2 linked regions of the Xenopus tropicalis genome follow. The protein of the gene in region 2 interacts with the protein of the main gene of each other region in a biochemical or structural test. Links are inferred from orthologs where the notes say so. Each region holds a gene or a part of one and is shown on either strand. Other genes may lie near its edges.

Evidence for each region.
Region 1: the proteins of myog (region 2) and csrp3 form a complex in vitro, tested with the Homo sapiens proteins (2 studies listed by BioGRID and IntAct, with this or other methods). The link is inferred for Xenopus tropicalis from reciprocal best matches to the Homo sapiens genes MYOG and CSRP3.

The regions. Positions count from the first base shown.
Region 1 is NC_030680.2:4,236,098-4,248,782, reverse strand, and holds the start of csrp3 (cysteine and glycine-rich protein 3), read left to right. Parts: upstream 1-5,366; 5' UTR 5,367-5,395; intron 5,396-6,373; 5' UTR 6,374-6,405; coding exon 6,406-6,517; intron 6,518-7,347; coding exon 7,348-7,516; intron 7,517-12,004; coding exon 12,005-12,137; intron 12,138-12,493; coding exon 12,494-12,587; intron 12,588-12,685. UniProt on the Homo sapiens protein: Positive regulator of myogenesis. Acts as a cofactor for myogenic bHLH transcription factors such as MYOD1, and probably MYOG and MYF6.
Region 2 is NC_030678.2:54,931,875-54,944,418, forward strand, and holds the start of myog (myogenin), read left to right. Parts: upstream 1-4,535; 5' UTR 4,536-4,571; coding exon 4,572-5,078; intron 5,079-8,860; exon of another isoform or gene 8,861-8,885; coding exon 8,886-8,964; exon of another isoform or gene 8,965-9,022; intron 9,023-10,350; exon of another isoform or gene 10,351-10,465; intron 10,466-11,544; exon of another isoform or gene 11,545-11,758; intron 11,759-12,544. UniProt on the Homo sapiens protein: Acts as a transcriptional activator that promotes transcription of muscle-specific target genes and plays a role in muscle differentiation, cell cycle exit and muscle atrophy.

The sequences.
Region 1 (12,685 bases), on a different chromosome or scaffold from region 2:
TTAACCCCCTGACAGCCATGTGGGGCCCTGCAATTTGATGATATGTGAAATACAGATATTTGCACAATGACCATACTGTGATGTATATACAGTGTTATGTTTTTTGTTTTTTATAAATTACCCCCCTCCCCCCCCCCAAAGGGGTTTGTGGTTTTAATTGTATGACTGTGCAGGAGAAGCTGTTATTGTATTGGGTGGAACAGCAATGCACTCAATCAGGATTTTTTTTGGGGGGGAGAAATACAATTATTTATATATAAAATATTCTCAATGAAATTAAAATTTTGTTGTTGAAGAATTGTTTGTTTTTATGGCACCTCCTACCCATATGTATAAATACAAATATACAGAGAAGGAATGTTCTGGGCACACAATAAGCTGTACCCCCATACTGTACTGTCTAAGGGAAACACTATGGCACCCCCTACCCATATGTATAAATACAAATATACAGAGAAGGAATGTTCTGGGCACACAATAAGCTGTACCCCCATACTGTACTGTCTAAGGGAAACACTATGGCACCTCCTACCCATATGTATAAATACAAATATACAGAGAAGGAATGTTCTGGGCACACAATAAGCTGTACCCCCATACTGTACTGTCTAAGGGAAACACTATGGCACCTCCTACCCATATGTATAAATACAAATATACAGAGAAGGAATGTTCTGGGCACACAATAAGCTGTACCCCCGTACTGTACTGTCTAAGGGAAACACTATGGCACCCCCTACCCATGTGTATAAATACAAATATACAGAGAGGGAATGTTCTGGGCACACAATAAGCTGTACCCCCATACTGTACTGTCTAAGGGAAACACTATGGCACCCCCTACCCATGTGTATAAATACAAATATACAGAGAGGGAATGTTCTGGGCACACAATAAGCTGTACCCCCATACTGTACTGTCTAAGGGAAACACTATGGCACCCCCTACCCATATGTATAAATACAAATATACAGAGAAGGAATGTTCTGGGCACACAATAAGCTGTACCCCCATACTGTACTGTCTAAGGGAAACACTATGGCACCCCCTACCCATATGTATAAATACAAATATACAGAGAAGGAATGTTCTGGGCACACAATAAGCTGTACCCCCATACTGTACTGTCTAAGGGAAACACTATGGCACCCCCTACCCATATGTATAAATACAAATATACAGAGAAGGAATGTTCTGGGCACACAATAAGCTGTACCCCCATACTGTACTGTCTAAGGGAAACACTATGGCACCTCCTACCCATATGTATATAGAAAGTTGGAATGTTCTGGGCAATATTAATTTACCAGAATAACCGTATATCTCCTGTTTAACCCCATGGCTTTCCCATGTGGGTTATCGGGTGACACAGTACAGGCTGCAGCAGGAATGTGGTGACATAATGGAGAATTTCCATGAGGCAAGTGATAAGATGACACCTTGTCTCCGTTACCTTGTAACCTCTCCGGGTTCTGCTACTTGACTTCTGTCACACAGGGGAGACAGGGCCCCTCTCCCACCCACCCTTTATAGAATAATCTGCCATTATCAGTAAGAACCTCCCCTGAGGCTTGTGAAAGGTACCAGGATGCTTTCAGCAGCTATCTGGTTGCTAGGGTTCAAATTACCTTAGCAACTGGGGAGTGGTTTGAATGAGAGACTGGCAAATGAATAGGAGAGGAACTGAATATAAAAAGTAACAAATTGTAGCCTCACAGAGCTATATTATTTTGGCTGCTGGGGTCAGTGACCCCTCTTTGAAGGCTGGAAAGAATAAAAAAACTATATATATATAAAAATAAAATGAAGACCAATTGAAAAGTTGCTCCAGCCTAGGCTCCAATTCCCACAATGCCTTGCATGCTCTGTGCTGTAAAAGACCTGGGAGGTGTGCAAGGCATTGTGGGAAATGTAGTCCAGGTTGGAGTGTTTGTTGTGATGTATTGGGTCACTGCGGCTCTCATAACAGCAGTTCATACCTACAAGGTTGCCAAAGTACCAACTCCATAGCAACGCTTACCCTAAAGTAAATGTGCACCAATTACGCTTTGCTTTTCACTCTTCCCCTAACTGCTAGTTGCTAGGGTCAGTGACACCCAACAACCAAATAATGACAGGCCTGATTTTTACTGCCATTCTGTTTGGACCTTCTCCTATTCACCTCTGAGTCTTCTATTCAAACCACTGCCTCATTGCTAGGGTAATTGGGTCCCTAGCAACCAGAGACATCACATTCTGCATGAGAGCCCCACAGACTGACAGTAATGAATATGGGGATCTCCTAGGGGAAGGTAGGTTGGGTCATTGTACCTTATGTGAGGGTTAGAAAACGGGGCAGTTGTTAATAAAAATACTAAATATTTGCCCTGTGTGCTCAATTGGTTGCCCCGAGGCTCCCATTCGCCTACAAATGCCTTCTCCCCGCCCACTATCCTACCTGGGAGCCAGTAGGAGCAGAGATACTATGGGGCCAGTGATGCTTTGTATCTTTCCCTGCCCCAGTGTTCCCATGAGTCAGAGGCCGGGGGGGGGGGCATCGGGCAATTGCCCAGGGGGGGGGCTATTTCAGGGACAGAGAGATGGGGTTTGTGGCTATGAATAGTGAGTGGGAATCCTGGGTAATAAGTGGAGTCAGCTGGCAGATTTAGCTCCGTGCCCTCCTCCTCCTGCTCCCAGCAGCCCCTTTATCTGCCATTCCTTTGCCATGTACACATGCACTAAATCCGGCCCAAATCTGCCCCACATGCTACATGGCTGGGTGCAATTACAGGAGTTGCACCGGGACCCTCCTACTGGGCTCCTGTACCTTGGCCCTTAGCCAATCGCTCAATTGGTTTATTCTTTTGTCTCTGTCATTCATTTGGATTCAGCAGCATTCTCATTGGTCAGTTCATTTGCATCTGTAATTCATTTGGATTCAGCAGCGTTCTCATTGGTCAGTTCATTTGCATCTGTAATTCATTTGGATTCAGCAGCGTTCTCATTGGTCAGTTCATTTGCATCTGTAATTCATTTGGATTCAGCAGCGTTCTCATTGGTCAGTTCATTTGCATCTGTAATTCATTTGGATTCAGCAGCGTTCTTATTGGTCAGTTCATTTGCATCTGTAATTCATTTGGATTCAGCAGCGTTCTTATTGGTCAGTTCATTTGCCTAGTGGGGCAGTTTTATGGAGGGTTCACACCCCCTTTAGCAAAGGCTATACATTTCCGTTACCCCCTTCATTCCCTATGTAGGACTCCAATCAGAGTATCCCTGGCACACAAACCACTCCCACCCACGGCTGCTAGCTCCTCCCACACAGCCTGAATGGCATCCCTGAGCCCAAACGTTACAGTCACAAACCTCATACAATAAATGGTAGTTATTAAAGGGGAAGTTCACCTTTAAATTAACTGTAAGTATGACACAGACACTGATATAACTTAAAGGTGAACCACCCCTTTAAAGGGGCAGCACTTGTGACTATTGCACCTGTTAATATTAATACTTTGTCCCTTTGTGAACTGCCCCCGGGAATTCAGCCCAATGAAAGCGATTGCAGTTCTGCTGATGTGGAAACAAATTCCGTCAGTTTTTCCTTGGCTTTCCCACAAAACTGAGCTCTGGAATAGCAATAAAATCAAGTGTGGAAAATGCCAATACGACTGCTTACTTCCCCTTTGTTCTCTAATGAGGTAGGAGGTGCCATAGTGTTTCCCTTAGACAGTACAGTATGGGGGTACAGCTTATTGTGTGCCCAGAACATTCCTTCTCTGTATATTTGTATTTATACATATGGGTAGGGGGTGCCATAGTGTTTCCCTTAGACAGTACAGTATGGGGGTACAGCTTATTGTGTGCCCAGAACATTCCTTCTCTGTATATTTGTATTTATACATATGGGTAGGGGGTGCCATAGTGTTTCCCTTAGACAGTACAGTATGGGGGTACAGCTTATTGTGTGCCCAGAACATTCCTTCTCTGTATATTTGTATTTATACATATGGGTAGGGGGTGCCATAGTGTTTCCCTTAGACAGTACAGTATGGGGGTACAGCTTATTGTGTGCCCAGAACATTCCTTCTCTGTATATTTGTATTTATACATATGGGTAGGGGGTGCCATAGTGTTTCCCTTAGACAGTACAGTATGGGGGTACAGCTTATTGTGTGCCCAGAACATTCCTTCTCTGTATATTTGTATTTATACATATGGGTAGGGGGTGCCATAGTGTTTCCCTTAGACAGTACAGTATGGGGGTACAGCTTATTGTGTGCCCAGAACATTCCTTCTCTGTATATTTGTATTTATACATATGGGTAGGGGGTGCCATAGTGTTTCCCTTAGACAGTACAGTATGGGGGTACAGCTTATTGTGTGCCCAGAACATTCCTACTCTGTATATTTGTATTTATACATATGGGTAGGAGGTGCCATAGTGTTTCCCTTAGACAGTACAGTATGGGGGTACAGCTTATTGTGTGCCCAGAACATTCCTTCTCTGTATATTTGTATTTATACATATGGGTAGGGGGTGCCATAGTGTTTCCCTTAGACAGTACAGTATGAGGGTACAGCTTATTGTGTGCCCAGAACATTCCTTCTCTGTATATTTGTATTTATACATATGGGTAGGGGGTGCCATAGTGTTTCCCTTAGACAGTACAGTATGGGGGTACAGCTTATTGTGTGCCCAGAACATTCCTTCTCTGTATATTTGTATTTATACATATGGGTAGGGGGTGCCATAGTGTTTCCCTTAGACAGTACAGTATGGGGGTACAGCTTATTGTGTGCCCAGAACATTCCTTCTCTGTATATTTGTATTTATACATATGGGTAGGGGGTGCCATAGTGTTTCCCTTAGACAGTACAGTATGGGGGTACAGCTTATTGTGTGCCCAGAACATTCCTTCTCTGTATATTTGTATTTATACATATGGGTAGGGGGTGCCACAATACAAGCTAGTAGCTGAGGGTGAATAAATACTTCCCCATGAAGTGTATGTATTTGCTCGGGGGAGGATGCCCGGTTGCTCATTCTGCACTAGGAAGTCACAGAGGATGGAGGGAGAGACACCAGATTTGGGTTTGGGTGCTATAGTAGCGGAGTTTCCCAATTCTGCTGAAAGGGTTAAACAATGAAAGTGAGAGTGAAACTGGACCCAGCGCCGGGGAAGTTCTGACCCTCCCTGCAATTCCTTTGTTATCCTGCCGCTCTGTGTGAGTCTGAGGGAAGAAATCCAGGGGTTGCTCACGTTCTATTTCGGGCCGGGTGAGTTCACAGATGTCCCACCCATTACTCAGTCCCCCCCCCCCCGGGGGGAAGAGCTTTCTGGGGAATTTAAAGGGTTCGGGGAGCCCCCGGCTCAGCACTCTGCAGACTCAGCCCTGGGGGACACACCACCTGCCTGTGAGTAGCAACGGAGGGGGGTTTTATTTGGAAAAAAATGGGGGGACATTTGGGCCAATGAACTGGGGGGCAATTAGAGTCAAGGTGGGAATTCTCTGGATAGAGGGTGGAACTTGATGGGTGCTGGGTGGCGACTGTAACTAAGGTGGCACCCATTGTACAAACAGGGCCAATCAGAAATCATATTATTACTGTACTGCTGGGCATCCCTTTGGCACTGTGGCCACTTGGGCACCAAGCCATTACCCAAAGGCTACTTGTATCCCAAACTGATCCCAGTTAAAGGGGAAATAAACCCAAACATAACAGGCAACTCGTCAGAACAAGCAGGGAGTGCTGAAGGTCACAAACATGGCGGCCCATATTGGCTATATCCAATCATCATAAGGGCCAATGCAGGCTCGTTAGGGGATGATAAAGGAGCCATAATGAGAGGGCGGCAGTTTCTGCCCCAGTCACATGGGTACCAGGAATGCCAGTCAGTGCCAAGCAATGGGTAGAAATAGCAGTGAATATATGAGATTCTGATGGCAGTGTTTCTTTAAAGGGGATGTGAAAGAGTTAATGTTTAGTATGATGTAGAGAGTCATATTCTGAGACAATTTGCAATTGGTCTTCATTTTTTATTATTTGTAGTTTTTTAATTGTTTCAATAATTGTTGAGCAGCTCTCCAGTTTGTATAACAGCTATCTGGTTGCTAAGATCCAAATTACCTTAGCAACCAGGGAGTGGTTTGAATGAGAGACTGATATATCAATAGGAGAGGGGCTGAATAAAAGAAAAAATAGGGAAAAGTACTAACAAAAAAATTGTTGCCTCGCAGAGCAATTGTTTTTGGTTGCCGGGGTCAGTGACCCCCTGTTTGAAAGCTGCAGAGTTTAAAGAAAAAGGCAAATAATTCAAAAACTGTAAGAAATAAATAATAAAGACCAATTGAAAAGTTGCTAAGAATTGGCCGTTCTATAACTGCCCCGCAGCTCCTCTCTCCGAGCCACTGACAGGCTGAAGGATGCCCATCTTGGGTGGGGGCGCCAAGTGTGGCGCTTGTGACAAGACAGTGTACCACGCCGAGGAGATCCAGTGCAATGGGAGGAGCTTCCACAAGCCGTGCTTCATCTGCAGTGAGTAGAGCGGGGCCCTCCTGCCCATCATACGTTGGCATGGTGATGGTTTCGGTGTAGGATATTTGCCCTTGCCCCTATGCTATGGGGGGAACACAGAGATCATCTTATTTCATGTTACCCTTTAGTGTGGGCGGGGTTGGTCCCTCAGTGACTGTTCATGCTGTTATGGGCGTGGCTACTCATGGTGTTGGCACTGGGGGGCCTGACCAATGGGTTAAGCTCAGCTACAGAGCTACCAACCCCATGCCAGGGAGATAGTGATCCAGCCCTGGTGTTTGTACAACCTCTTCACTTTAAAGGGTAACTTGGAATAAAGTCTCACAAGTGGATCATTATCCCCCAAACTACCCGCTTTATAAATAGATCCGGTGGCTCATTGGCGCGACTGGGGCACAGTTGTTGTGCCACCCACACTTCTGCCCCCCCCCCATGCCAGAACTTAATGCGCAGCTGATAAGTGACGAGTTTCAGAGATATTCTGACAATTCCACTTTAAAGGCTTTAGTGGCATCTGCCCTGGCACGGCGCCCGCGGTGATTCTAAGAATAGAAGCGTTTGATCTGCTCTTGGTGCCAGTGCTTGTGCCCATTATATGCCCCGATTAGTGCGGCTATCTTGGCTCTGATAACATCAGTCCAGCTGACCGCTCTCACTGCTTCTAGAACATTCCGCATAAGGAACAATATCCATAGATTAACCTGCCCTTCCCTCCATCCTACTGATACCTACAGAACCTCCGTGTACTTACCCCCAGCACTCAGTGCCCTTATGGGAAGCCCCGGGAGGCCCCAGACTGGTATTAACGCTCTCCATGTTCCCCCGGCTAGTGGTCTGCAGGAAAGCCCTGGACAGCACCACGGTGGCCGCTCACGAGTCTGAAATCTACTGCAAGTCCTGCTATGGGAGGAAATATGGCCCCAAGGGATACGGGTACGGCCAGGGCGCCGGCTGCCTCAGCACCGATACGGGGGAGCGATTTGGCATCGAAGTGGCAGAGTAAGTCCTTCTAATGTGGGATTCTGGGTAATATCCCACCTTACCCCATAATCCCACAGCACCCAGCGCTTCCCTCACAGCCAGGGATTCTGGGTAATATCCCACCTTATCTCATAATCACCCAGCACCCAGCGCTTCCCTCACAGCCAGGGATTCTGGGTAATATCCCACCTTACCCCATAATCACACAGCCCCCAGCGCTTCCCTCACAGCCAGGGATTCTGGGTAATATCCCACCTTCCCCCATAATCACACAGCACCCAGCGCTTCCCTCACAGCCAGGGATTCTGGGTAATATCCCACCTTACCCCATAATCACACAGCACCCAGCGCTTCCCTCACAGCCAGGGATTCTGGGTAATATCCCACCTTACCCCATAATCACACAGCACCCAGCGCTTCCCTCACAGCCAGGGATTCTGGGTAATATCCCACCTTACCCCATAATCACACAGCACCCAGCGCTTCCCTCACAGCCAGGGATTCTGGGTAATATCCCACCTTACCCCATAATCACACAGCCCCCAGCGCTTCCCTCACAGCCAGGGATTCTGGGTAATATCCCACCTTACCCCATAATCACACAGCACCCAGCGCTTCCCTCACAGCCAGGGATTCTGGGTAATATCCCACCTTACCCCATAATCACACAGCACCCAGCGCTTCCCTCACAGCCAGGGATTCTGGGTAATATCCCACCTTACCCCATAATCACACAGCACCCAGCGCTTCCCTCACAGCCAGGTATTCTGGGTAATATCCCACCTTACCCCATAATCACACAGCACCCAGCGCTTCCCTCACAGCCAGGGATTCTGGGTAATATCCCACCTTACCCCATAATCACACAGCACCCAGCTCTTCCCTCACAGCCAGGGATTCTGGGTAATATCCCACCTTCCTCCATAATCACACAGCACCCAGCGCTTCCCTCACAGCCAGGGATTCTGGGTAATATCCCACCTTACCCCATAATCACACAGCACCCAGCGCTTCCCTCACAGCCAGGGATTCTGGGTAATATCCCACCTTACCCCATAATCACCCAGCACCCAGCGCTTCCCTCACAGCCAGGGATTCTGGGTAATATCCTACCTTACCCCATAATCACACAGCACCCAGCACTTCCCTCACAGCCAGGGATTCTGGGTAATATCCTACCTTACCCCATAATCACACAGCACCCAGCACTTCCCTCACAGCCAGGGATTCTGGGTAATATCCCACCTTACCCCATAATCACACAGCACCCAGCGCTTCCCTCACAGCCAGGGATTCTGGGTAATATCCCACCTTACCCCATAATCACACAGCCCCCAGCGCTTCCCTCACAGCCAGGGATTCTGGGTAATATCCCACCTTCCCCCATAATCACACAGCACCCAGCGCTTCCCTCACAGCCAGGGATTCTGGGTAATATCCCACCTTACCCCATAATCACCCAGCACCCAGCGCTTCCCTCACAGCCAGGGATTCTGGGTAATATCCCACCTTACCCCATAATCACACAGCACCCAGCTCTTCCGTTACAGCCAGGGATTCTGGGTAATATCCCACCTTACCCCATAATCACACAGCACCCAGCGCTTCCCTCACAGCCAGGGATTCTGGGTAATATCCCACCTTACCCCATAATCACACAGCACCCAGCGCTTCCCCCACAGCCAGGGATTCTGGGTAATATCCCACCTTACCCCATAATCACACAGCACCCAGCGCTTCCCTCACAGCCAGGGATTCTTGGTAATATCCCACCTTACCCCATAATCACCACAGCACCCAGCGCTTCCCCCACAGCCAGGGATTCTGGGTAATATCCCACCTTACCCCATAATCACCCAGCCCCCAGCGCTTCCCTCACAGCCAGGGATTCTGGGTAATATCCTACCTTACCCCATAATCACACAGCACCCAGCGCTTCCCTCACAGCCAGGGATTCTAGGTAATATCCCACCTTACCCCATAATCACACAGCCCCCCAGCTTCCCCCACAGCCAGGGATTCTGGGTAATATCCCACCTTACCCCATAATCACCCAGCACCCAGCGCTTCCCTCACAGCCAGGGATTCTGGGTAATATCCCACCTTACCCCATAATCACACAGCACCCAGCGCTTCCCTCACAGCCAGGGATTCTGGGTAATATCCCACCTTACCCCATAATCACACAGCCCCCAGCGCTTCCCTCACAGCCAGGGATTGTGGGTAATATCCCACCTTACCCCATAATCACACAGCACCCAGCGCTTCCCTCACAGCCAGGGATTCTGGGTAATATCCCACCTTACCCCATAATCACACAGCCCCCAGCGCTTCCCTCACAGCCAGGGATTGTGGGTAATATCCCACCTTACCCCATAATCACACAGCACCCAGCGCTTCCCTCACAGCCAGGGATTCTGGGTAATATCCCACCTTACCCCATAATCACACAGCACCCAGCTCTTCCCACACAGCCAGGGATTCTGGGTAATATCCCACCTTACCCCATAATCACACAGCCCCCAGCTCTTCCCTCACAGCCAGGGATTCTGGGTAATATCCCACCTTACCCCATAATCACACAGCCCCCCAGCGCTTCCCTCACAGCCAGGGATTCTGGGTAATATCCCACCTTACCCCATAATCACACAGCCCCCAGCGCTTCCCTCACAGCCAGGGATTCTGGGTAATATCCCACCTTACCCCATAATCACACAGCACCCAGCGCTTCCCTCACAGCCAGGGATTCTGGGTAATATCCCACCTTACCCCATAATCACACAGCACCCAGCGCCTCCCTCACAGCCAGGGATTCTGGGTAATATCCCACCTTACCCCATAATCACACAGCACCCCAGCGCTTCCCTCACAGCCAGGGATTCTGGGTAATATCCCACCTTACCCCATAATCACACAGCACCCAGCGCTTCCCTCACAGCCAGGGATTCTGGGTAATATCCCACCTTACCCCATAATCACCCAGCACCCAGCTCTTCCCTCACAGCCAGGGATTCTGGGTAATATCCCACCTTAACCCATAATCACACAGCACCCAGCGCTTCCCCCACAGCCAGGGATTCTGGGTAATATCCCACCTTACCCCATAATCACCCAGCACCCAGCGCTTCCCTCACAGCCAGGCATTCTGTGTAATATCCCACCTTACCCATAATCACACAGCCCCCAGCGCTTCCCTCACAGCCAGGCATTCTGGTAATATCCCACCTTACCCCATAATCACACAGCACCCAGCGCTTCCCTCACAGCCAGGGATTGTGGGTAATATCCCACCTTACCCCATAATCACACAGCACCCAGCGTTTCCCTCACAGCCAGGCATTCTGGGTAATATCCCACCTTACCCCCTTAATCACACAGCCCCCAGCGCTTCCCTCACAGCCAGGGATTCTGGGTAATATCCCACCTTACCCCATAATCACACAGCACCCAGCTCTTCCCTCACAGCCAGGGATTCTGGGTAATATCCCACCTTACCCCATAATCACACAGCCCCCAGCGCTTCCCTCACAGCCAGGGATTCTGGGTAATATCCCACCTTACCCCATAATCACACAGCCCCCAGCGCTTCCCTCACAGCCAGGGATTCTGGGTAATATCCCACCTTACCCCATAATCACACAGCACCCAGCGCTTCCCTCACAGCCAGGGATTCTGGGTAATATCCCACCTTACCCCATAATCACACAGCACCCAGCTCTTCCCCCACAGCCAGGGATTCTGGGTAATATCCCACCTTACCCCATAATCACACAGCACCCAGCGCTTCCCTCACAGCCAGGGATTCTGGGTAATATCCCACCTTACCCCATAATCACACAGCACCCAGCGCTTCCCTCACAGCCAGGCATTCTGGGTAATATCCCACCTTACCCCATAATCACACAGCACCCAGCGCTTCCCTCACAGCCAGGGATTCTGGGTAATATCCCACCTTACCCCATAATCACACAGCCCCCAGCGCTTCCCTCACAGCCAGGCATTCTGGGTAATATCCCACCTTACCCCATAATCACACAGCACCCAGCGTTTCCCTCACAGCCAGGCATTCTGGGTAATATCCCACCTTACCCCCTTAATCACACAGCCCCCAGCGCTTCCCTCACAGCCAGGGATTCTGGGTAATATCCCACCTTACCCCATAATCACACAGCCCCCAGCGCTTCCCTCACAGCCAGGGATTCTGGGTAATATCCCACCTTACCCCATAATCACACAGCACCCAGCGCTTCCCTCACAGCCAGGGATTCTGGGTAATATCCCACCTTACCCCATAATCACACAGCCCCCAGCGCTTCCCTCACAGCCAGGGATTCTGGGTAATATCCCACCTTACCCCATAATCACACAGCCCCCAGCGCTTCCCTCACAGCCAGGGATTCTGGGTAATATCCCACCTTACCCCATAATCACACAGCTACATAACTACCTACAGATATTATCACTGTGTGAGCAAACTGTGCATTTACTCTCCGTACAATTGCGCAGATCCCACCCTGCCCGCGGATCCCCCACAACTACACATACTTCAAAATTCACGCAGAAGTTTGGTGCCACAGAGAAATGCCCCCGGTGCCAGAAATCAGTATACGCCGCCGAGAGAGTGATGGGAGGAGGGCAGGTAAGTGATTTCTGTGCTGCTCTCTGGGGTCTCTGCCCCAATAATAAATAAATAAATATATATATATATATATATATATATATATATATATATATATATATATATATATATATGTACGTACGAAAAGAACAGTAACCCCAAAAGTCTGGGAAGAGAAGCATAGCTCCCTGGTGTCGGCATTCGGGTTCTGAATAGCCCCACTCTAGAACCAACCGAGATAGATTAGTGGTCAGTTCTAGACTGGGTCACACCATAGAGGGGTCACTCACAGCGGGGCCACTTATACTGCACAGAGAATGTTCTAGAAGCGATTGCTGAAAGCTGATTGTGTGTTTTTCCCCTTTCTTCTCCTGCAGCCCTGGCACAAAACCTGCTTCCGCTGTGCCTTTTGTGGCAAAAGTCTGGACTCCACCACCGTAACGGAGAAAGATGGAGAGATATACTGCAAAGGTCTGGCAAATACAAGGGGGCGGGGCACTTAAATGGGTGGGGCTTTTACAATTTTTTTTTATATGGTTCGGTAAAGAAGTGATGTATGTATGTATATC
Region 2 (12,544 bases):
CGAGTTTCAAATTCATTTAATTAAAAGTAAAAGACATTATGAATGGTACATGTATTTTGTTGCCCTTTTTACATTTTTCCTTGTGAAAAAATGGCCAGAAATCACCCATGTGAGGATATATGTGCCCCCTTTTCCACCTGCATATCCAACATATAAAGAGGTCACAAATATACAGAGTTGACTTTTGTTCTTTGTACTTAATACCACCTAACTCTCTATAGCTGGGCAGGCCTTTGCAGAAACATCAGAAAGAAAGATTTGAGAGACCCATGTTCCATTGCTGGTTAACTCCTATGACCATAGGCTACTCACTTGGTAGGTGCTTCTGTCCTTACTACCTCATAAGGCACTTAGTACCCCATTCAGGCAAGCCTTAATGATGTGCAAGCTAGTGGCCGGGTAGTCTGCCCCTCATGAATACAGCTTGGAAGTTCTGTATTCTTGGGGGCAGTGTAGGTCCTTGCATTCCATTTTGGAGGGCAAACACCTGTGCCCATTGGCAAAATACAAAAAACATGGTGGCCTGCATCTGTTTATTGTACTTTGTACCCTGCCTTATACATGATAAATGACCCCTCCTGTGCCTCAGTTGGCTAAATGAGATTATTGGGTTTTTTAGGATGGTCCTTATTATGTCTGAATAATTACAGTACTGGTCTTGATAAAAACCTTGCTAGTATAAAAACCTTGCTAAGTATTAAGGTAGTAATAACATGTGTTGTTATCTTTGTCTATGCTAGTTATTTCATAATATTCCAAAACCCAGTAATATTCCAAATCCAGACCTGATAAAAAATGACAATATTGGTGCTTCAGCTTGGTTCTTAGAATGGTTAGAGGCATTAAAGGCTGTTTGCAGCTGCAGCATGTATGTCTCTAGCTAGCCAGAACACATCAAACTTTTATATTCACTCTGGCAGCAACTGGAACCATATATATTCTTACAGAGAAATCATGCTATAGGAAATTAGCTCAGTTGCACTTTCATTGCCCAACCCATTTTTAGCCACTTCTGTTGTGTCACCCCAATCTGTGATTCCTACCCTAGAGTGGGTGCAGTGACATGTGACCAACCTCATCTCAGTCATATAAAGAATAGTAAAAAATATACATAGTAACTTCATCCCCATTCCCATCTCCATTGTAATTACTGACACCAGCAACCCAGGGGGCACAAGTTCTCTGTAAGTGAGCACTAAGGGAAGGGGTCTTGCTCTACTTAGCACTCCTATACTTGTGCCAGTGGGAAGATAAATGACCCCTATAAGCGTATATAAGCTGTTATATTATATATTGTTCACATTGAAAATATTTTTTCTGCAGATGGCTTTTATTCCCCCATTAGTCTCATAATGTGGTCTGAGTGTGCATAGGCTGCATGAAATGAGTAGTACTACACCTGTCCCTTGATGGTGGTGGGCAACGGGAGCTGCTGCTCACACTTTTTCTATCTACCAGAAAATATGACTATGGATATTTTCATTCATCCAGGTCATGGTATATCTAGTATAGGTTTTAGTGTAACTGAGCCTTAAAGAGCAGCATAGGGAGTGATTTCACACAGGTTTAGAATAGTTATTGACCTATTGATTTATGAAATCCAAATGCCAGACTGTTGAGACAAGCTAGGTTTAACTGAAGTATTTGGCAGTATCCTTTCTTTTTTCCAATTAAATGAAAGGTGAGGTAAATTGCAAGTACATTGTGCACTGGCTGTACCATTTATATCTGCTTCATCTTTATGTATGGGTTTCTTTAATCAAGGGGAAAGTCAGTGAAAACATACACAGGAACTTAGCAAAGGCAATTATAGAAGACTGAATACATCTGGGATGGCGAGAAGATTTACAGAGGACAAAAATACAAAGCAAATGGTTGTCCATAGCAAGTGAAGGATGATTATTTTTGTAGGTGCTCTGCTCTAAGGCCTTTAAGGAACAGTCAAGTGTAAAAATGAAATTGGGTAAAATGGATAGAGTATGCAAAATAAAAAATGTTTGCAATAGAGTTAGGCAAAAATGTAAGCTATAAAGGCTGGAGTGAGCAGATGTCTAACATAATAGCCAGAACACTACTGTCTGCTTTCAGCTCTCTAACCTCTTAGTCACTGACTTTAGGGGGGCCACATGGGACATAACTGTTCAGTTAGTTTGTGAGAATGCAGGTCAGATTCCTGAGTTCCTGAGAAATGGTACACGTTTCTGATCTCAGCAAATCTCAGAACAGTACTGTATCTGGCTGACTGGTTAGTAGAGCCTAGTCAGCTGCCATTGGTTAGTAGGTCATGAGTTATGAGCGGCATGTAGACTCACACTGTCTCAGCCCCTAATAATGAATCCTTGCCAATAGTTCTTAAAATAACTCATTACAAATGGCTGTAACTAACAGCAGATGAGCCCAAGAGATGGTCAAGGGGTGTGGCACAGTGGTTAAGCAACATGTGTACAGCACTTCATACTATACAAATGGGACCTGTTATCTAAATGCACGGGACCTGGAGTTTACAGGATAAGGGATCTTTCTTTAATTTAATTATACCTTATATCTACTAAAAATGATTTAAACATCACATAAACCCAATAGAATAGTGTTGCCTCCAATAACAACAAATTATATTTTAGTTGAGATAAAGTAAAAGATACTGTTTTATTATTAAATTATTTGGTTAAAATGGAGTCTGTGGGAGATGGACTTCACGTAATTTGGAGCCCTCTGGATTATGGGTCTCCAGATAATGGACTCCACACCTCTATTGATAAATGGGTAAAGGTGATAACACAAATATATGAAGCAAGTACACCTCAGGGATAACAAATACCCTATTGGGTTTATTATTTGCCCAACTAACCAGAGCAACTTCTACTATTAATTTTTGGTCTCTTTAAACCAAAAGTGTAATTCTACTACTAAAAATAGTAACTGTTATACTATGTGCAATGGTAACTATTAAGAATACTACTACTCATCTGGAGTTTTGGATGCTTGCAATCCTTGGCCTGTGAGTACAATCCCTGCACTTAGTCCCAGAGTTAATCCCCTGAGCTGACTGCTTGCTTACAATACATATTCGCAATCCAGATTATATTAAAAGCATGTCCTGTCTATGCAAAAACTCCATTGAATTCCTAGATTTCATGGAGTCGCTGGAAGGCATAAAACGCACATATTGGTTATGTATTAAAAGACACTAAGTTGCCAGTTACAGTGCAACATCCAGCCCACTGGCCTCTAGTTGGACAGCCCATGTTGAAATAACAGAATAAACTATTATGGGTACCTTATAGACTTCTTCCTTCCCTCACTGTCATAACTGTAGTATTGCAGAATGAGCAGATCTGGGCCTGATTTGCCCCTGGGTCATTTTGGGCTGATCATTAGCCCTGGGGGCATTGGGACCTATGAAAGCCTGTCAAATGATGACCACACCAAAATGCTGATGCAGTCCACAGTTGATGGAATTTTCAAACCTGCCTGATTGATATCTGGATGATTTTCAGCCAAATATCGGTCAACCAGGCCCCATGCACAGGCTAATAAGCTGCTGACTCAGTTGACAGCTTTAAATGGCCCATGTATGGCCAGCTTTCATTCTTGTAGAACACATGCACAAGACATTGCTCATAAAGTAAACAGAGCGAATTAAAGGACACGTAAACTATGACAAAATAAACTTGCACCTGCATGGGAAATTATTGCACAAGGAAAGAGAGATTAACAAAATTTAAAAGGTAAAATATTCACCCGCCTCTGACATATACTGGTTTTTATACATCACCATATTGTTGTATCAGTTATTGCCTTTATTCTGTATTGTGCGCAAGAATCAGCCTTTTGTCTATTGTATTCTCTGTATCAGATGTACCTAACCACTGCATTCTAAATCAAATATAAATATGATATTCTCAGTGCTCCTTTATCAACCCAGACATTACATATGAATGTATATGGCACTCTTGAATGCAAGGCAGCAATAAACAGAAGGGAAAAATGACACTATAGCATAAATTCAAATGGGCAGTACATCGGGAATATAAAATACTATTTTTGTTTTATTTTTCCTGTATTGGTATCATTATTTTTAGGGCATTATTTTAGAGCATTATTTTTAATGTAATGAGATATACAGAAACACACAATCCAATTAAAAGCATACACACAGATTAATAAGCATATATACATTATATATATATATATATATATATATATACACACATGTATATGTACTCCTATTGTTCTGTCTAAATGAATGTGTTCTATATAAATAAATAATATAACTGTTACATGAACTTGAATACTAAAAAGGTTTTTAAAGGGGAATTTTTCTTTTGTCCTTTTTTTTCCCCTAGCTGAATCCTCCAGGGAGAATCCCTTCTTTTTCAGATGTAAAAAAAAGTTTTGATGTCAGGCAACAGCTAAAAAGTGGATCAGATTTCGTGAATGTTTTCTATATTTATCTGCGTGATTTAATGCTGGGCAGAGGGTTTAAATGGCATCAAACAGTTGGTGTGAAGAGTAGAAGAGCAGTTGCTGTGTAGTTGTCGAAAGGAAACACTTCTAGGCAGCCCTGTATGATGGAGCTTTTTGAAACCAGCCCTTATTTCTTTCCAGACCAAAGGTTTTATGACAATGATAACTATTTCTCTGCGAGGCTCCCTACATATGAGCAAACTGGGTTTCAAGATCGTGGCACTGTGGGGATATGTGCGGATGGGGTTTTATTGCAGGGCTCAGGAATTGAAGACAAGGTTTCTCCCCATCCCACTGTAACCCAACAAGAACATTGCCCTGGCCAATGCTTGCCATGGGCCTGCAAGGTATGCAAGAGGAAGACGGTTTCCATGGACAGAAGGAGGGCTGCTACCTTACGGGAAAAGCGCAGGTTAAAAAAAGTTAACGAGGCATTTGAAGCCCTGAAAAGAAGCACTCTGTTGAACCCTAACCAAAGGCTTCCAAAGGTTGAAATCTTAAGGAGCGCCATCCAGTATATAGAACGCTTGCAGACACTATTGGCTTCCCTTAACCAGCAGGAGAGGGACCAGAGAGATTTATTATTCATCAGTAATGGATCCCAACGGGTGGTAGGTAAAATCTTGTATAGAGTTTATCAATGTGCTTCATCCTGGAATCTTAATTGTTTTACACAGGCATGCCTACACATATACACCTAACAACCTTCTCTGAGCCACACTACACTGAACATAAATCAGCACACTATCTGTTTTAGTGTCATTATTTTCTCTGATTTATGTGCTAGTAATAACCAGGATCTACAATAAGCCAATGTGTCATAAAGCCACTAGGGAAGGGGTTTTTAAGATGAAGGGGGGGGGGTACTTAGCTATTGCTAAGTGAAATTAGGTCAGTTTTTAGATCTATTTAAATGTTTTACTTATTATTATAAGAATTTTCCTGTGTTTAGAATTTCACCATGTATAATTGTATGACAATATACATGGCTTATATTATATAAGCAGAAATAATGCTGTTGATGGAAATGATAAGAGGGCCTACATTGTGTGAAACAGCAGGTATGTCCAGTTATGATATACAATACCTGTTGGGCAAAGAGCTGTACATAACCCTGCTAGAAGCAAAACGTTTGTAAAGTGGAAAAGAAGGTAGGTTTAACCAGGAAAAGATCAAAGTCACAAAAATTGTGACATTTAAGGGCATTGAGGTCATTGTTGTGCTAAGAAATATATATCTTACCTTATCCTCTGCATTTGTGTCATTTGACTCAGTTTTATAGAACTCTCCAGTATAAAAAATAATTAAATTAAATGAAAAATCATTAAATTAAATAAAAAACATTCAAAGAATAATATATAGAGGATAAATATATGGAGCATTAACAATAATAATGAATATATTTAAGTTTAATATCATTGAGAGACAAAGCTCAGATCTTTCATCATCAACTTCTTTGACAAGTTTGAGGATACAAAACCTATAGTATAAGCATATACAATCAAGCTACACTAATCCAGACAAACTGCAATGTACCGACATATCTTCTGACCATATAGAAGGTATTATAAACTTACCGCTGTAGCTGTTGCAGAGCCATAATGTGAAAAGTCATTTCTCCATTGTGTTAATTTTGCAAAGCTACAGAGGCAAAATGATTGTTTTAAATATTATCTAGACAATACAGCAAGTACGATATTAAAGGGGTTAAATTAATACACACTGTTATTGCAGCAGACATATATAGTGATTTTTTTAGTAGGGATTAAGAGAAGGAGCAGAGAATAAAGAGAAATAATATAGTAGAATGCATGTTTTTAGTATGTTTCTTTAATGTATGTCAGTTTCTAGTATACTTGTTATGATTCCTTGTCTAAACCAGTTGTAAGGTCTTTAAATTCAGGGACAGCTGTCTAAATCTGTATATTCCTTTTCTGTGACCTTGATCACTGAATTTCAATAGGGTTTTTGTCTTCAGTAAGACTAGAGTAAAGCAAATGCATGTGCTTAGTTCCACTGTGTGTATATATATATACCACCATGAGATAGTGTAAGGATATATTGATATATTCGACAAAGTATAGAAATATAAGTAGAATTACTTTGTTTCATGGATAATTGGCAGGATTGCATTAAATAAATTCCAGTGTCTTTAGAACTTTCAATTATTGGCAAAATGTTTTCATCTAGGCAAACATGATTTTTTTTATTCTTTAAAAATACATACACACGTATTGTTTTTAAAATCTATGATATATTGATTTGTTGGTGCAATGGTACATATTAGGCAACATATTTCAACTAATCAAAACTGTGCAATTTGGCAATTCATGTGCATGTGCAAATTTCCTACTATCTCATACCTCAGCCAATGGCTGACCAATTAGTGCACACAAAATTGGCCTATGTCTGGCCAGCTTAGCTGTCTCTGTGAGGCAAAAATTATGGCCACAGTTTAAAGTCTAGAAATCATTGCTGTAGAGGAGGCAGCCTGTATAATTGCTATCTTGCACTTGCAACTAACGACCGGAAAGTGAATAAAATGCACTGTAAATAAACAGTAGAATATGGATCTCTCCTATACAGTCTGTATTGGTCGCTAACTCCTTTCAAGCCCTAAAGCCATATATTGGGAAATCTGAACTTTATCTGAGAGTAATAAAGGGCTCAGCTGACTGCATGATCCTAAAGCATTAGAATCATATTGATCCAGATATAATTACTGTCAGTGGCTGAAGAAGCTAACTTTCTCCCACTTTGCTAGATATAGATGTAAGATTGTAAGCCTGGAAAATTCACAATACTGCTAATATTGACTTGAGAGTACATTTATACAATTTATACTTTCACCACACTGAGCTGTGGCTCCCATTAGCTACGTTGCCAGAGCACTGTAAGGCACCCTCAAAGTAATGACATCTGACATATTTACATTCAGGTTGCAAAGCCTCTATAACTGCACCACTCTTCCTCATTCAGCCATACGTGCACAAAAAATGTTCATTAATCATCCATTATTTAAAAACTATGTGTGTGATCATAGCATGTGTCTGTATCTCCTATATATTGCTTTGGACTATTCAACTGACCTATTGATTTCAGGGCTTATATTAGGACACTTTAGTCAGCCATCAGAGAAATCTTTCATTGTGTTTCACACATAACTGCCATGGCTTTTCGATGTGACCCTTAAACTCAATATATCAATGGTATGGGGTCATTTTTTTTTAATGTAACCCTGACCCTTAATTTGCTGAACATAGTTACTTGCTGACTGCTTTGTAAAAAGCAAGACATTCCATTATTTGAAATGAATACTTTGTAAAATGCGTATAGATATAGTTGCAGTTTCTGGAATTTAAGGAAACCTGAAATTTCATCTTCCTTATAGTGTAGTATCAGAGGCTTTCATTAACAAACTTTCTGTGTGCAGATCTGTGCCTCTGTTCCACCATTAATGTGTAATGTTCTTGTCTTGCTCAATCTCCAGTAAATGAACCTCTCTCTCTCATAATGGGGAATTGCAAATTTCATTCATTTCCCAGTGACAAGCATGACCCCAGTAGACAGATGTGCACATGTATTATGATATGCATAATATACTCAGCAGTACAGTGCTTTTGTGCATTCTGCCTGTAATAATACAATGCTGTTCATATAATATAAATTAGCTGTAGAAATTCTGCACGCGTCAGCAATTTATTTCTTTTTACTATTTTTTTGAGGTGGACAATTAGGTATTAATATTATTTTTGTAGAGTCTGAATATTTAATTAAAAAATCAGTACATCTGAGACAAAGTTATAATATTTGTGTAGATGTCCCCTTACTTCTGTATACATACATATATTTATGTATTGTAGTGTCCTACTTGGCAACATTCTAGTAGTTCTTAATTTGCTAAAGGAAGTTCCATACATGTAACTTCTGTGCTTAACACATATCTCTGTAACTTACACCTGGCTTGTGCTTTTCAGTCCCTTTTCAGGTAACTGTTCATTATTATTTAGTCACCTCTGGAAAGTATGACAGCATACTATATTAAAACGAAAAAAGCAAACAAAAAATGAAAACTTTGGTGTCAGGGCAAAGGGCAAACAACGGCAAATTACAGGACATCTATCTCCCATAGACTCCATTTTAATCAAACATTTAATTTAAATGTTTCCCTTTTTCTCTGTAATAATAAAACAGAACATTGTACTTTATACCTACTATGATATTATTCATTCTTACTGGAGGCAAAACAATCCTGTTAGGTTTATTTAATGTTTAAATGATTTTTAGTAGACTTAAGGTATGGGATCCAGAAAGACCCCTTATCTGAAAAATCCCAGCTCCCAAGCATTCTGGATAATAGGTCCCCTACCTGTAAAATAATCAGTACTATATGTAATATAATGACTTTTTTATTGCAGGTATCAAGTGAATGTGGGTCAAGCTCTTCCTCTTGTAGTCCTGAATGGAACGATTCTGACTTTAGTGGCAGCCAAAGTGGTAAGTAATTTGACCATGGAGTTCAGTTTTACAGAGAAATTCATCTGTCCAACCACCACTGAAAAAAATAAAAAAATAAGAACATGATTTGATTTTGAATACATATTGGATGAAGATGCTTAAAGCTTATGTTTAAATGTTATTCCTGGATCAGAAATGGCAACATTCATTGGCTTCAATTTAAAAAAGCATATATACAGAACATGGCTTATAAATCATCTAAACTAGATATTCCTCTCTGGGGTGTTTCCTGGGTGAACCTTGATGTTGAATCAACATTTGCTAGACCTTTGTGATCAATTAACTATGGTTGTTTTTATATATTTATCTCAGAGTAGTTTATAGAGAGCTGCCAGTAAGTCCAGCTGCTGTGCTGGCCCTTTTCATTCACTGCATGGACAAAAACAACATTTTCTTTAAGGAAAATGTATTCACACCTGCTTTTGAGGAAACTTTACACTGGCAAAGTCAAAAGAACACTTTTTATGTCAATGCTTAATAAAAACAGGCAATGATGTTTACATGAAGAAGGTGGATTCTGCTTGTGGTGGCTGCACTTATTTCCCTGTTTTAACCCTGTGTTGCTTTTGAAATAAAGAAGAAAGGAAACAGTGTTCAGCATTGATCAGTCTAATGCAGGTATAATAAGGAAAAGGCTGTGAAAATGTATCCAACATTAGTAAAATAGATGGGGGTGTAATTTGTATTCTGGTATACACACAAAAGAGAAGAAAGTCAGCCCTTTCCCAAAGTAACATTAGAACAACCTCATCATTTCTTGTATACTTACAAGATTATATTTTCATTAAAATAAAAAGTAGAGAACATTGTTTTCCTAGAAAGGTCAAATGGTCTGGATGTTAATGGATTAAACTGGGACAGAAATCCCTTTAGGGCTTCAGACTGTACATTAAAAATTATGCGCACCATTAAAAAAAATCACATGTTCACAATAAATAGTTTCAAAGTAAATAAATAACTGGTTGCAGTGGTAATATTTAATTGAACCAACCAGAGCTGGTGGTTCTATAAAGAGTAGGTCAAGTGGCAGAATAAGGTGACCTACGCTCTTTGGCATCATGGAATGAAGAATTAGATATTATAAATGTTATTTAATCAGTTATTTTTCTGGATATAGGAATCTGGTTGACTGGAATGCATTTTGTAATGGTTTATAGAAAAAGAGTCTTAAAAAATCATGACAGAATGATATGCAGCAGTTATATTCTGATTCAGTCATTCTGTACAAATATGCTAATGCTGCGGAGTGGAAGAGAAATACTAAATTGGGCTAAATTTATTGAATGTTGACTGTTTTTTTTCAACCCAATGTTGAGATACATGTTGATATATATATATAAGCAATAATTCTATGTAGGCATTCACGATTTGTCTTCATAAGTTTGCCTGATTGCAGGTCCAATTTGTAGATCAAATAGTTTTGTCAACAGGATACCGCTTCACACGACTTATGAATATATATTGGATATTACATCCCCTTCTGTAATTTAAAAAGACATTGGAAATCACAAGATGTTACCTAACCATTTAAAAGCACAAGGCCACAGGCCAAGTTCCTTTATACAGGACATGTAATTCCAAGATAAATTCTAAAATCTTTACATTTTTCATTATAATTTATTGCTCAATGTCAGCTGATTCGAAATTTACTAAGAGCACTCTCTAAACTGCATGTCTTTTAAAACTCTGCCCCCTCCTTTGTTCAGAAACTGTAACTATAGCAACACAGACCCCTCTGACCATTCAGTCACTGAGGGTCCGCCTAGAGAGGTCCCACTGGTAGCCTACAACTCCCACTAACACCATGGGGCTGGTGACAACACAAAGACCCCATTCCCACCAGGTACATAACCTGGAACCCTCCATTTCTGCCTCCCTGCTAGCATAGAACTTTTTTGCGAGGGACCCAGGTATGGTTGGTGATGTGGCCCCTGATATCGATGGTTATGTTTCTGCCTCCATTTCCTTTCTTTACCACCACTATGTTTCCCTTCATTTCCCCTGTCTCCATTCCCCTACACTTCCATCCCCCCCCCCCCCATAGCCTACACTTCTGTCAACTACCCCCTTGCTTCTGCTCCTGACTGTATATCCTCCAGTAAGCTTTCCTCCCCTTCACAATTACTACCTGTGATGAGGGAGTTCTTAGGTCTGTATGGCAGCACTGGGCAGAGACAGAGCAGGTGGTTAGTCATTTTCTGGTACTGACATGAGAGTACCAGCCTATCCGTGCCACAGATTCTGTGTTTCTTGTTTCCTTTTGATACATTGTGCACTGTGTGTTTCCTGGCAACGTGCAATATCAAAAAGTGCCAGCACAAAAAGGGTTAAACTGCAGAGCAGAAAGCAATAAAAATACACACATCAGAGAGAAGAAAGCAATAAAAATATGCCCAATCTTGTTCATTTGAAAACTATAGTTTAACAAACATGGCTGGAGAACATAAATGCAATTTTCAGGTAAACAGTAGCTACAACTTCTTTCCAATCAAAAAATAACAGCAGTTCAAGTACAACATATAAATAAAAGCCCCTGAGTTTTGTTAAGGGGAATTTCACCTAATAAATGGCATGATGTTGTTGACAGTAGCAAAATATCATGCTTTTTCATTCCTTCACCTTTCTGCCACTCCAGCTATGCCCTGCCAGTATGGTGTAAACTTCCAGAAAGGGGTTTGAATGCCAGACAGAAGCATAAATAGAGAGCAGAGGGAGAAGTTACAACAGACACGTGAAACATTCAGCCTGGCATTCCATTAATTCTCTGCCTGAGGTCAGTGACCCTAGTAACTAAACATTACTTTAAATTCCAGACCAGAGAGGTCAGAACAGAAAGTTACACATTAAAAAGCAATACAGTACATGCACGTTAAATATAATTTAATTGGGTGATTTATGTATAAAACATACACATTTTTTTATTTAAGATTACATATTCAGTTACTTACTACAAAACTATACATACTGCATTTAGCCAACATCGTTTCTGAGTAATTAAAGATTAGAAGTGTCACTTTGGCTTTAGCAACTGCATTGCTCTTGGGTTGTAGAAATACAATAAATTATAGAGAATCTTAAATATTTTCAAAAGTGGCTTTGCAAGCCCCCTCTCATATGTCTCATATATCTTTCAAGAATATAGGCCAATATAATATCCTAAATATTAGGGCAAGGGTACACTGTGTCAAAAGAAATGGAAGTAAATCCATTTATTTAAAATCATTTAAAGTTTTCTTCAGCATGGAACAGTAAAATAAAAAATTGGGCTCTCAGTTCTACCCTGTAAAGACAATGTGGGGCACAAAATATATAATACAGGTATGGGATTCCTTATCCAGAAACCCGTTATCCAGAAAGTGCAGAATTATGGAAAGGCCATCTCCCATAGACTCCATTATAAGCAAGTAATTCTAATTTTTAAAATTGATTTTCTTTTTCTCTGTAATAATAAAACAGTACCTTTTACTTGATCCCAACTAAGATATAATTAATCCTTATTGGAGGCAACACAAGCCTATTGGGTTTATTTAATGTTTAAGTGATTTTTAGCAGACTTAAG